2 linked regions of the Alligator mississippiensis genome follow. The protein of the gene in region 2 interacts with the protein of the main gene of each other region in a pairwise test. Links are inferred from orthologs where the notes say so. Each region holds a gene or a part of one and is shown on either strand. Other genes may lie near its edges.

Evidence for each region. The genes of interacting proteins can lie anywhere in the genome.
Region 1: the proteins of RNF11 (region 2) and SMURF1 interact in binary tests that used the Homo sapiens proteins (3 or more experiments, as listed by UniProt). The link is inferred for Alligator mississippiensis from reciprocal best matches to the Homo sapiens genes RNF11 and SMURF1.

Annotation. Positions count from the first base shown.
Region 1 is NC_081836.1:53,529,025-53,535,870, forward strand, and holds the start of SMURF1 (E3 ubiquitin-protein ligase SMURF1), read right to left. Parts: upstream 3,002-6,846; 5' UTR 2,933-3,001; coding exon 2,878-2,932; intron 1-2,877. UniProt on the Homo sapiens protein: E3 ubiquitin-protein ligase that acts as a negative regulator of BMP signaling pathway. Mediates ubiquitination and degradation of SMAD1 and SMAD5, 2 receptor-regulated SMADs specific for the BMP pathway.
Region 2 is NC_081828.1:8,256,271-8,263,221, forward strand, and holds the start of RNF11 (RING finger protein 11), read left to right. Parts: upstream 1-3,932; 5' UTR 3,933-4,105; coding exon 4,106-4,228; intron 4,229-6,951. UniProt on the Homo sapiens protein: Essential component of a ubiquitin-editing protein complex, comprising also TNFAIP3, ITCH and TAX1BP1, that ensures the transient nature of inflammatory signaling pathways. Promotes the association of TNFAIP3 to RIPK1 after TNF stimulation.

The sequences.
Region 1 (6,846 bases), on a different chromosome or scaffold from region 2:
ATAAAATTAGTCCTATAGCCTAGGCATTGTCTTTGATTCCTTTTATCTAATAAGTCTAGGTTTCCTCCAAATCTGAAGGCTTGTTCCTCCAGAATGTTTCTAAATCTAACCTTTTCCTCATGTCAGGATGGCAAGGATTCCTACCTATACTCCCAATGTCTATACCTTCTCAGTCTGTACAAGACTAAAACTATACTGTTCTGATCTCTCCTGCTACCCTCATATCAATTTTTAAAAAAGTTACAGGCTTAATTCTCAAGGCCCTTCCTAATTCTGTGGCTCTTAATTTCTTTGAGTTTTAGTATTGTCTTAAACTCCCTTTCTTTGGCCAATTAAAGTGGCCTTAACTACCAACTTGCCCATTCTTCCCACAAAGCTCTTTACGTTTTCTTCCATGGTGGCTCTCATATACAAAGCCTTTTCCTCCGAACTGACCCATAAGATTGTTGTTACTCCATTTTTAAATCGCCTTCTCAACTGTTACTGCTAGGCTGGGCAGCAGTTAGAAAAAGGCAAAAGCAATTTCATTATAAAACATAAAAAATAGTAAAGCTATACACATGAAAAATATGCATCACCTTCCTCTTCCCTACTCTTCATCATCTGTCTTATCATCCCAGTCTCTACCCCAAATCGCGTGCAAACCATCTTTATTTGCTACTGTCTGGCACCGTGAAACCCCAGTTTTCACTGGGGTCTCCAAGTGCTTGTGAAATTTGAACAAAATGTTATACTGTGTTGGAATCCGTCCCTCTGACAGACCACCTCCACGTGACGCTAGCCAACAGCAAGGGTGTCAGGGGTAGAATCCTATCAGTTAGATTGGACACTATTTGCACATATATGAGGGTTTTCTGGTCTTTCAAATGCAACCCTCTGTTGACCCCAAGACATTGTGAACAGACAGCTTGCAAACGCAAACTGACAAACCCTGTTGGAAACTTTTCTAACTTAAAAAAAAAAAAAAAAGTTTCACCATTGCAAAATTGCTCCAAGCAGTGAAGACAACAGGGCTCATAACAATTTTGTATTCTTTATCTACATTAGCATTTTCACCGCGGTTATTACGAGAAGCAATGACAATGGCAGCCTTATCTGCACAGGGCTTGGGGGGAAAGTTGGCATATGACGGGAGATGAGAGCATCTAGGAAGCGAGTACGAGGTGAGATCATTTTATTCTGCTGACTGGTTCTTATTTGTTGCTGCTAAGGTTTTTTGTTTTAAAATGGACTTGAGATTTACTTTTTTTTTTTTTTTTTTTTAAGTTATAGTTAGGCGTCATGGTAGCTTCCAAAATCTTCTATCCAAACTACAGCTATGTTCTTAATTGTTGTCACAGCAGCTAGAATTTAGGACAGGATAAGATAAATACCCCCCAATGCAAATATTTTTAGAAAGTGCCAAAGCAAAGTTCACTTTCTTAAACACTGAAAGTGTACACCAATGTTCACATCTCATTTATGGAGTGGCTCTTGGAGGCAGCTTCAATCTTAGTGGTATTTACACAGCAATGTTCAGTAGTGCAAAACAGAGATTGTTTAAAATTGTGGGAAAACAAACTGCAAATTCAGTCATAGGAAATGTGATGTAAGCGGTCAATCATAACAAAAGATGGTCTGCGTTTACTATAATTCAGCTCAAATCTCTCAAAACCAAAACAGAATTTAACAACAAAAGGCATATTAGCTACAGTTCTTTGAAGCAGATCAGCCAACAAGCAAATTTCCAAGGAAGTCAGAAGTGAAACGTTTACTAATGTTTCTGAAGTGAAAACTCTCTCTCGAAGCAATTCTTTTGCAGACAAAATACTGCACGTGTTGACTCACCAACTAGAGATTTCTGTTAATAAAAACAAAGAGGTGGCTGACCAGGTCGGATATTTCCTCAATGTATTTTAAAGACTGCTACCGAGAAACAGGACACAGAAGCAATCCTAGCCCTTACATCCGTCGGCTCTCTACAAAATGATTTTCACTATGAAAGTAAGTTCATGCCGGCACGAAGCAAAAATGAAGAGACAAGCCATCTGACGCAGCATTCACCGGAACGGGCAAAACAAGTAACTTCTGGTCCCATTTACTGTCGCTGCCGTGTTCGGAGGGGGATTGCGGGTGCATTACACACCAATCCCTTGGCTCCTTCTCGATCGGTAAAAAAAAATCTACACTGCTGTGTCAGAGACAGGTATGTGAGCGAACCTATATCGATGTTAGGGCCGGGAGGGACCTCGGCCGATCGAGTCCAGCCCCAGTTGAGAACCGCGCCGGCGCCCAGCAAGCGACACGCGCTCGCTTCGCAAGGGAAGAAATGAGTAACCCGTCTCCACAAAATACTTTTTTTTTTTTTTAAAAAGAAATCCATTCGTTAGTTCTCCGGGGCAAGCAAGGTGTGTCCCGAGACCAACCAAACCCACGGGAAGAATGGGGGGTTTTGCCCAGAGGCGCGTGCGGCGCGTGGCAGTCCCGCCACCGACTCGTTATTAAACCCGCCACCTTTCACACGCCCGGCAGAGAAGCGCGGGCGCCCACGTCCCGGGCACGGCGCCCCCGGGCAGGGCGATGCTCCAGGAGGCACCTGTTGCCTTGCCAAGCCGGGAGCCTCGCCCCGCGCGGATCGCTGCCTCGCGTGGAGGAGCCGGCGCGCCCCCCAGCCACGCACCCTCGCCGGCGTGGGCAGGGAAAGCAAAGGACGTGGACCCCCCCCCCCCGGACACTGCCCCCGAGGAAGTTCACTCCGCAGCACGGCCCCCCTCAGGAGCCGCCCGCGGGGAGGTTGCGGCCTGCGGCGATGCGGACGGGTAGACCCCCCAGGCCCGGCCTGCTCAAGGGGGTGGTGGTGGGGGGGGGGGGAATAACGGTCAGCCCCGCTGCCGCTACCTGTCAGCCGGATCTTGATGCTGGAGCCGCTCCGACGCGTCCCCGGGGTCGACATCGCAGCCCCGCGGCCGCCGCCCCCATCCGGGCCCAGCCCAGCCGCCGCCGCCGCCGCTCGACGCCGGCCCGGCCCGGCCCAGGACAGCGCGCTCGCCCCGCCCCCAGGCCGCGCACGTCATGACGCCGGCGCGCCACCATGTTGGTGAGGTCCGCGCGCGCGGGGGGCGGTGCCACACCCTAGGGGCGGGGCCGCCAGCGGAAGGCGCCGGCGGGAAGACAGCTGCGCCCCCTGAAGAAAGCCCTTGGCTCCCACGCGGGGCGGCCGCGCCTGCAGGAGGCTGCAGCCGCTAGGTGTGTCTGCACACCGTCCAGGGCTGGTCTGGAGGCTGCAGGCATTAGATGCGATCCCCAGGAGACAAATGATAGGGCGTGCATGAAAATGCATACCTGTGGTTGAATCTGATGTATGCAGCGGTCCAGGTTTTAACACACGACCGTCGTGTGCACACACCTTCTGGATGTAAAATCTATACAGGCAGTCCCTGGTCTTATGACACACCTGGCTACTGAAAACAGCATCTTAAGTCCAAACGGTGCAACTCGGAACTGATTTTCTCATAAGAAACAATGTTATAAATGGGGGATTGGTTCCCGAATCAAGGCCCGGTACCTTATTTTCACCAAAAACATCCCAGCCTTTTGTACTCAATCAATTATAGATGAGTACTATAGCTACATTAATGTATTTCTACTGTAAATAGCAATCACATTGATTTGGAAGGACTTCTCTGAGGCGAGTCTGTTGGACTTTTTGAAGGGCTCTCGGCTGGAGTCTTCTCGGGAGTCTCGGCTGCCTTTTTAAAGGAAGTGCCCTAGGAAGCTGGGACAGGTGTTCTCCAAGGAGATGGGCGATGCAGCAAACTTCTTCGCTGGTGCGGCATCACATCTGATCAAGCGCTGTGAAGTCAAAACTGAGGTCAGAAAGTTGAAACGGTGTCAATTTATAAACGTCGTAAGTGCAAAATGTTGCAACTCGAAACCTTGTACATTGAGGACTACCTGTATACGAGGTTGAATCTGAGGTACGCAGCAGTCCAGTAGATTTTAAAGTCCGACAGTCGTGTGAATTCACCTTCCCCATGTAAAGTCTGTGCCCTGCCATCCATAATTATTATATGCAAGCAGGTGGGCACATTTGCGTTGCGTGTCACGGGCGTGCTGGCACTCCAGAAACCTCCCAGAATAGATTCAAACCGATTCGGCAAGTCTACTCTCGCATCGTTCCCAAACCATCTGGGCTACATCACTCCCCAAAATATCTGTTATGCTTAGGTACTGGGGCTGGACGTGCAGGTCGGTGCCTCGCCTCCCTTATGAATCTCTGCACGCCATCGGCCTCGTTAGGGTCCAGGGCTTCCTAATATCAGACCCCATATAAATGGCAGATCCAATAGCATCACCCTTTGCTGAGGAAGATGGGACAGGGCCTTTCCAAAGAGCCCTGTGTCCTACCTCAGGCTCCCACCCAGATAATTACAGTATAGTCAGCATAATATAAATACTAGTTCACCCCCCAAGAGGTAGGCAAGGTTTCTTGAGTAGATATGATATCTTCTATTAGACCAACTGAGTACACAGCTGTGATATCTTCTATTAGGTCTAATAAAAGATATCCCATTACTCAAAAAACCTTGCCTCTCTCTTGAGGGGGGAATTATTACTTGTATAATATATACACATCTACTAAAAAAAAAAACCAACCCTTGCCTGCCTATGTCCTTAGCCCAATGTGGCTACAACCAAAAACCCCACCCTCAAGAAGTGGTTTTAGTCTCATCCCACCTCCATGCCATCACTTGATTCAATGTTAGACTCACTGGGCCAGGCTCATTTTGATGCTCCCAGTCGCACTGAGACTGAAACGCCTGGCTATTTAGGTACATACTGCGAGCAGATGAGGGGCTACATGAGAGTAGCTCAGCCCGACAGACTCTGTAAATACTATTAAATCACAAATGGTAGCATCGCAAATGTTAGCATTTCTTTTCTGCAGGCAAGGAGATGACCTAGTTCCCCAACCTGGCTGATTTATTGAACTGGAAGCAGGGTAATGTACGCTTGGGTTGTGCTTTGCTCCTAACTCTATTTAAGCTGAGATCATCATCTGTGCTTGGTAGATGGAAGTGGCATGGCTCACCCCTCACATAAGTTAAGACAGCACACTTTCTAAGCTCCCCCTCTTTTGGAGCAAAAAGTAAATCAAGGCAAGCAGAAATGCATGTGAAGGTGTCTGAACCACAGGGACAGCCAAGTGGCCAGGCACAATTGTTTCAAGTTTTCCTCTTGTAAGTATATTCAGACTGGATTTCAAAGCAGCCAGTCTTGCACGTGGAAGAGAATCTATGGATTTTAAACCACAGATTTTATTGAACTTTGCCTATTCTTTCATGCATGGTATGAAATGTCACTATCTAGCCCTTCAATCCACAGCTGATAACCCTGTGTGTAGTGCTTTCCACAGTCTGGAAAAGCATTTGTTAATTAATTCATACCTCAACTGGGAACCAGGCAGCCTGACATTTTCACTCCAAGGGTTCTATCACTTTAAGCATATTCAGGAATGAGAAGCAAGGCAAGGATATTTATGACTAACCCCAAACTCTTGCTGTTTGATTTCCAGAACATATGTTATGCTGGTTTCTAATGCCTTGTCTCCCAATAGCAGATTTTCCTCACTGCTTATTTTCATCTGTGGATTGTCACTTGGAGGTACAATAGCTGTAGATGTTACAATCTGTTTGCTGAGCCAACTCTGTGAATCTCTCTCTATATATAGGATGTCATTCAGGCAGAACAGGGAGGAAAATACGCTGCGATTTCCAGGGAGACTACTGGCTGCAGTGAAAGGAAGACTCCATAAATTTATAGTTACCTTGGACTGTAAAGTTAGATAACAGGTTCAGGTGCAATAGGCAAAGTAAAGCACACTGCTTGGCTTTTATTCATTCAAATCCTTCCTTTTTAAGATTTATCTTTCAGACTTTCTAGTATTGCTGTGGTTTCTTGTTTCATTGATCATGTATATCTGATAAAGCAGTGCATGAAGTCTGGATCTTCTCTCTAATACTTCAAGCATCTGAACTCCACTCTAGGGCTTAACTTATCCTCTGAAAAATGTTTAATATAAGTCACACTTGCACACAGCTGAAAACCAGCCAGGCAAGCAAATTACAATAAAAGGGTGTAGTTCAGGTGGCAGAGTAATTCATTTGGGATTGGAAAGGAAGAGTTGGAGGAGAGGTCCCCTTACCCACTGAATTGTCATTTATAGTAAGGGAAGATAACCCTGAATGGGTACATCACTGTACCTGCCTGCACTGGCAAATTACAGGCAGAAGCCTTCTGGTGATCATTTACTAACTCCTGTCATTTGAAAGGGTTGGAACAAATGAATGCGTACTTCCATTAGGGAAATGGAGTGAAAAAAAATCTAGCTCATTTAGGGAAGAGCACATGAATTTCCTCTTTCAACCGAGTTCGACTTGGTGCAGCTGGAGTTTAACTGGCTGTAGTAAAGGTGGAAATACCTACCTACAACATGACTGTAAGCAGAGATGGATGAATAAGAGGGCAGTGCCAGATGCCTGTAGGCATAGCAGGCTATCTAGTCTTGGGAGACACTGGGCAGCCATCCATGGAATAGGCCATCTGAATGAGGCAGCATTTGGTATATGGCCAACTGCATTCCTTGCTAAACTGAAGTCCAGTGATGGGAGCCTGGGTTACCTTGCACATCTTAAGTCTCCAATGACAGTCTTGGTAGAAGTGCTAACCCAGACCAGTTCCAGGTCATCTAGAATTGCTGCCACCGCCAGAGCTATTCTACGTAGTGGCGGGAGCGCCAGACAGACAATCTGTGCTAACACTTCTGCTGCCACCAGACCACCGGTGGGAGATTATAGAACAGCACAG
Region 2 (6,951 bases):
CAAAGGTAAGAAGGTGTAATAGGAGATGTCAAAAAGGTATGGTGGGCATGTATACCATGTAATACCATTATACAACTCCTGTTGTTAGTGATATACACATAGTATTGAAGAGGACTTTCAAACTAATTAATGTTTTGGAATGGGGGAAAAAACCTGTACTCCATCTATGAATGGATCAATGAACCCCAAGAATAGGATGTCAGGTAAAAGAAATAACTTATGTCGCCTGTTGTCCTTGCAGCTCCCCAAAATGGTTCCTGCATATAAGCAGTGGCTACTTTTTGTGGGTTTCTATTTATTTAATTAAAAAAAAAGTTCCAGAAGACATTCACTGTCAAATTATGGCTATAAGCATTTGTTTAAATGTTTGTTTATAGACAAATAAAATTGTGAAAGTACAGTATATAGGTTGCCAATGCCACTAATATTTTCATATCTGTATCTATCTTTCCTACAAAGAAACCACCTTATTTCTAAAGACACTTCATCCTGGATGAGAAGCTGGTCAAAGGAATCCATACATTTATCACCTCCAGGTGATAACTCAAAATATCAGGTGAATATGAAGGCAAGGAGAGGCTACAGGTGGTACGTAATGCCACATTATGTCTGCTTCCCCCAGCCCCCTCTGGATCCCAGTGAGCTTCTGATGCCAGTTTCTGGTCATGGTGCTAATTTCCAAAACAATTAATGGCTCAAGTCCCAGCTGCATCAAAGATCAAATTTCAGTTTCTCAGATACTGAGCCATACTCATCTGGGACACAGCAGCGTAGAAAATTTAGGACAAAGCATACAAGAGCTGGGGATAAAGCATTCACTGTCAAGGGAATCTTCGTACAGAACAGACTTCCAGAGATCAAGTGAGACCCGAGTCTGACCAGCATTGGGAAATTTTGCAAAATTTTCCTCTTCATGAAGCTTGTCACTTGCAGGGTTAGCTGTGCACCTTCTGGTTCCTTTCTGGTTCCTCTCAGTTTATCCCTTATGCCTCACTGAGTGCAGGTTTCATACTTTTACCTCTCCTGCAGTGGTATTCTACAGTTCTCCCGTTCTTAAACTGGGCCTCTTGCTACAGATTTTCTCTCGACCATGCATATCCAACATGGTTTGGTATAGTTCAACCAACTGGGTTTAGCACCTGGAGCTTTTTTCTTCCATGAGCCCATGACAAGTGGCGAATACAGTGACTACACTGGCCTTCTTAAACCAAAACAATTTAATCCTAACAATAGGAATAAAGCATTTAAGAAAATTATTATAAAACAATAGTCACTTGCTCTTTCTTGTATCTAGAGTCCTATCATCTTGTGATGTGGGGCCAGGCAGGCCTAATTTTTTTAGGTTCCCTAGCAGATCTTGTTAGTTAGCCTGAACTGCTCAGTAGCAACCCACTGACCTCTGGAAAGAAAGGTAGGAGGCAGGATAGATTCACACCTTAAAAACTAAATACCAGTAAATCACTCAGGTATGCATAGGCTTTCATAAGCATCACCTTATTTTATCAGAAGCTATGGAAGGACTCGTATCCAGATCCGAGCATTGAACCCACATGGCAAAACAATATTTTTAACTTAGCTGGAAATGTGAGGAAACATCTTTAGAGCTATTAGGTCAAACATTGTCTTAACCACCCTGGGATGCTACATGGGTGCAGCAGGGTAGACGGGGTGGCTTATCTCCAGCCATGGTTTCACTTCCTGCTTTTATTTCTTACAACTTCCTATTAAACTAAACCAGCGGTGACCAAACTGCAGCTTGAGCTGCCTGTGGTTTCTAGGCGGTTTAAACGCAGCTCCTAAAGACAGAGTCAAAATAAAAATATTCTTTTTCTATCTGTCCAATTCTTTCTTTCTGGTTTTGCTTTTCTTCAGGTCTTGTTTATTGGTTATTCTAAGCAGTCATTTAACAGCACATATTTACGCTGGAACACTTTGCACAGATAGCTGACGGGTATGTACATCCTGAAAGTTTTGCACCTTGCAGCTCCCAGTCGTGTCAAGGTTTGTGGGTAGAAGAGTTAGGAAGTTGAGTCACCCCTGAATTAAACCAACATACCCATGCAGTAAACATCCCAATATCTAGGTCACATCAGACTTAATAATTATTGTATGTCATGGCATCGCCACATTATCACAAAGCCTTTCTGTTGTAAGTGATAATTGCATTTCAAACATATTTATTCCCAACCTGCCCATCCCCACCATAAAACCTACTGGCAGCAGAATTCCAGCAGGGAGAAGTGCTAGAGATCCCGTGAAGTCCCCTAAGGACTTTGTGGTTGCTACTGGTTTCAGATGGAAGGGACTGGGGAGACCAACCAGGCAAACTCCCGTTGCTCCAAAAAACAAATGTTTTCCCTCACCTGGGCCTGTAGCCTTGCATATTTAAGGTAAAATAAAGAGGAAAGATGAAATCTTTTATTCCACTAAAACTTATGTCATTAATAGTCGTGTTCTAAATTTGGGTTTTAAATATTCATGACCATTCATGGGATAGCCAGAAACATTTAACTGTATATTTTACTTTGCAAGGAAAAAAAAAAGTTGTTAACTACAGGGCTGGTCATACGGCGTGCCTTGAAGTTAATGGTAAATAAAGAAAGCTTGAAAGTTTGATTTACAAATATAAAAACAGCAGGAGAGGGATCCTGCTTATTTTCCCCATATGGGATGCACTTCTCGTCTGTCCTGAAACACCTTATGTGGGTCTCTGCATTAGACTGTTTTCTCTTAGGTTACCAATTGTGGGGCACTCGAGTAGACCAAATACTTTAACTGTCCTACCACGTAACCGTTCAAAGCTAAAATGGTGGTTAAAATATTGATTATATGATCACTCCTACCCTGGGAACCGCACCGGGAGATGCACGGCCGGTGCGGTGGCAATTTTACAAATGCCAGAGCGAAGGGATCAGGTCCTGACCTCATAATTGTTACTAACTCCATTTGGTCCAAGATTTTATACAAGAACGTCGATAACTCGAGAAATTGTGGCTGTCCCACGCATGGCGATGAATATTTATTCATGAATATTCAAAACCCAAATTTAGGACGTGAATATTAACGAACATACGTTTCAGTGGAATAAAAGATTTCATCTTTCCTTTTTCCTCTACTTTAAACACGCAAGGCAACAGGCCCAGGTGGGGGAAAACATTTTTATGTTTTTTTTGGAGACATGGTTGTCTCCCCAATTCTGTTTATATGAAATCAGCAGCAACAGCAAAGTCCTTAGCGGTAGGGTGGCCCTCGTGGAGGACAGTCCGGTTTTCTGCTACTCCGTCCTCTACGGATACAAAACCGGACGCTTTTACGTCCTGTTTTTCTTCGGAAGAAACCCAAATTTAGGACGCGAATATTAACGAACATAAGCGAAGAGAAAAATAGAGGACATAAGAGGCACTGGGTTTCGTATCCATTGAGGAAAACCAGACTGTCCTCTATGATGGCCACCCGGCCTAGAGGCCTTGGCGGCGTGGAAGGAGCCAGCCAGATTACTTGAACGTCTTGGACGCGTCGATCCAGCGAGGCGCTCGGGTCGGTCTGGCTGACGTGGGTCCAAGAAAAGACGTCGGATTTACCCCAAAGAACCGTCCCCGATGCTTTTCGAATGACATCGCCGTGGCCTTTGAAGGGCAGGACGCCTCGCCACCAAGAGGCTTTGCCCGCCCCAGGTTTTCCCTCATCCGGATGGCCACGAAGACAAGGAGATCATGGGAACCCCTTCGAGAGGCAGACACCTCACGAGGAAGGGGCTTTGTCCGCCTCCTCGCACACAACGAGAGGGCCGAGAGGGCGATGTGGTGGAACAACCCTCCTGTCTGGGGGGGAGGCCAGGCCGGGCCGGGCCCCGATGGCGCACGGAGCCGGCGGGGGGAGGGGGAGGGGGAGGGGCGGGGCGGGGCGGGTGACCGGGAAGCAGAAGCGCCGCCAACCGCCGGGCGGGCGGGCCGCACCTGGCCCCGCCGCTGCCCTCCCGGGGGCGGGGAACCGAGTCCCGGCCCCGGAGCGCAGCGGAGCCGCGCAGGCAGGGGCGGGCATGAGCGCCGGGCCCTGACCGGAGCGGAGCGGAGCGTCGCGCCGCCGCCGCCCGGGGCGGGGGAAGATGGGGAACTGCCTCAAGTCCCCCACGTCGGACGACATCTCCCTGCTGCACGAGTCGCAGTCGGACCGGGCCAGCTACGGCGACGGCGCCGAGCCGGACCAGGAGCCGCCGCCGCCATATCAGGTACCGGGGCCGCCGGCTGTGACTCGGCAAAAGCGGTCGGGCTGAGCGGGGCTGCGCCGGGCCGGGCCGGGCCGGGGGCGCGGGGAAACCTCCCGCCGCCGCCGCCGCCGCCTTTGTTGTCTGGGCGCGGACACGGGGGGGGTGGGACTGGCGCGGGCCCTTCAGGCGGCGCGAGCCCGGGGCTCCCCGGGGGGGTTTGCGCCCTGCTAAGGGCCGCAAGGACAGGCGAGCCCGCACCGGCTTTGCCCAGGCAGTGTGGGGGCCCCCCTCCCCCCGCGTGGGGTCGGCGCCTGCCAGCCCCCCTCACAAAGTCACCGACTGCCAACCGGCCAGAGCCGCGCGGGGTCGCCGACTTCAACCGGCGAACGCCGTTCAAAAAGTCACCGACTGCCAACCGGTGAGAGCCATGCAGGGTCACCGACTGTCAACCGGTGAGCACCGTTCAAAAAATCACCGATTGTCAACCGCCAAGAGCTGCACGGGGTTGCCAACTGTCAACCGGTGAGCACCATTGAAAAAGTCACCGATTGTCAACCAGCGAGAGCTATGCAGGGTTGCCGACTGTCAACCGGTGAGCACCGTTCAAAAAATCACCGATTGTCAACCGCCGAGAGCTGCACGGGGTTGCCAACTGTCAACCGGTGAGCACCATTGAAAAAGTCACCGATTGTCAACTAGCGAGAGCTATGCAGGGTCGCTGACTGTCAACCGGTGAACGCTGTTCAAAAAATCACCGATTGTCAACCGCCGAGAGCTGCACAGGGTTGCCAACTGTCAACCGGTGAACACCATTCAAAAAGTCACCGATTGTCAACTGGCGAGAGCCACGCGGGGTTGGCAACTGTCAACTGGTGAACGCCATTTAAAAAGTTGCCGACTGTCAACCGGTGAGAGCCGCTCAGGGTCGCCGATTGTAAAACAGAGCAGTTCAAAGCACCAATTATAAAACAGTAAAAGCCATTCAAAAAGTCGCCGGTTATAAAACGGTAAAAGTGGAAATGGCAAAGAGGGAAAGAGGTTTTTAAGACGCGGGCTGACAAAGCCTTGGCTGATGGGGTTGGCGATGGTCGTGCTCGGAGCAGGCGGTTGGACATGGGGTGACCTCCTTGAGGTCCTTTTGCAGCCTTATTTTCTAGGACTGTTCTCAGGAGAAATACATCATTGAAGTGGATGCGATGGCATGTTTTTTCACGGGGAAAAATAACTTCATTACATCTTCAAACTAATGGGTCGTTGGTTTTTTGTCTTCTTACACCAGGTTTGATATAACAGCATATCTCTCTGAGAAATCTACTGTGAGATGTGTTTGAGATGTCAGTCTTGAAGGGAGATCTGATAGCTCTTTATTTGATCAGATAGGAGTCATTCAGCAGTTGCAGAATCGGCATATAATTAACCAAATTGCAGGAAGTATTTAACGGGGTAGACCTGTCATCTGCAAATGCTTTATGAAGTCAAGAATGATAGATCGGATAGGATTTTTTTTTTCTTTTTGGTGCTCAAGAGCAGGAAGTGTAGTTGTCACTGATGGATGCAGTGAGACAACAGTGCTGTTACCTGGCAGGCAGGAGTTGTTTATATTTTCTACACATGCAAAAGATACTGAATAACTGTTTTAATATAAAATCCTCCTATGAGGAACTCTTCCTAGTTCTCAATTGCACCTACTCAAGTCCAGTGAATTTAAAGGAAGCACAATGACATTATTTAAAGGACAAATCACCCTAAACGAACCCTGCACCATCTGTTCGGATTAAGAATGCAAGAATTTTTTCTGTAAATCGACACGTAATATATGAACAAAATCTAGCGGTCTATCCTATGCATTACAAATACAACGTGCGTGTGTAATCTCCAGGCACTATTTTTTTTTTTTTAACAGCCTCTGAGCATTATTATGATTTCCTCTTCAGAATGGTCAAGAGTATATTATGTAAATGTTGCAGGCCTTTCCAGGTTGATTAGAGAAACAAACTCGTTTGCCATTCAAGCTTTCTGGGAGATTTTTTCTCCTTTCTAATGAACATGTTTTAGGAACCAGGAGGGGTAGGTAGGTAGGTTGGTTGGCTTTGCTGTCTATTCTTTTTTGTCAGTTATTTAAAAGTTCTCTTATTGAGTCCTGGCAGTGAGTTTATATCAAAGCCAGCTCACTTTATTAACTATATTCACAATTCTGCATATCGGCTGCTGTGTTCTCCTGTTTTGATATTCTTTGGTTACCTTTACATTTATATTTTAAAATTTCTATTCAAGTCAGGAGAGTGTAGGGGGGGAATGGTTACTTTAATGCACCATTACTTTTTTGGTATTTCTGAACTGTACGTTTGAAAGTCAGAGGCATGGCTCCTACAGCTGCAGCTGAGTCATAATACCTTAAGGAGAGAGTGTGTGTGTGTGTGTGTGTGTGTGTGTGTGTGTGTGTATTGCTACATACAGTAATACAATACACGCTGAAGGGGACTACATTTAAAATTGAGGGAATCACTTTTGAACGATCTGATCTTCCATGCATTTACATTCCCAATCACGAGTCTGAATTCGAATTGTCACTGAACAGCTCAATTTAAAATAGCTGCTTAACGCTATTGTAGTGAAATATAAGGAATTCCATACACTTAGTGCTGTTCTTTTTGTGGGGGGGAAAAATGTCACATTTGGGCTACAAAATTGCTTGAACAGTATCAGGTTCTATGATGTAAGAGTGGTGAGGGAAACTGGGAAGA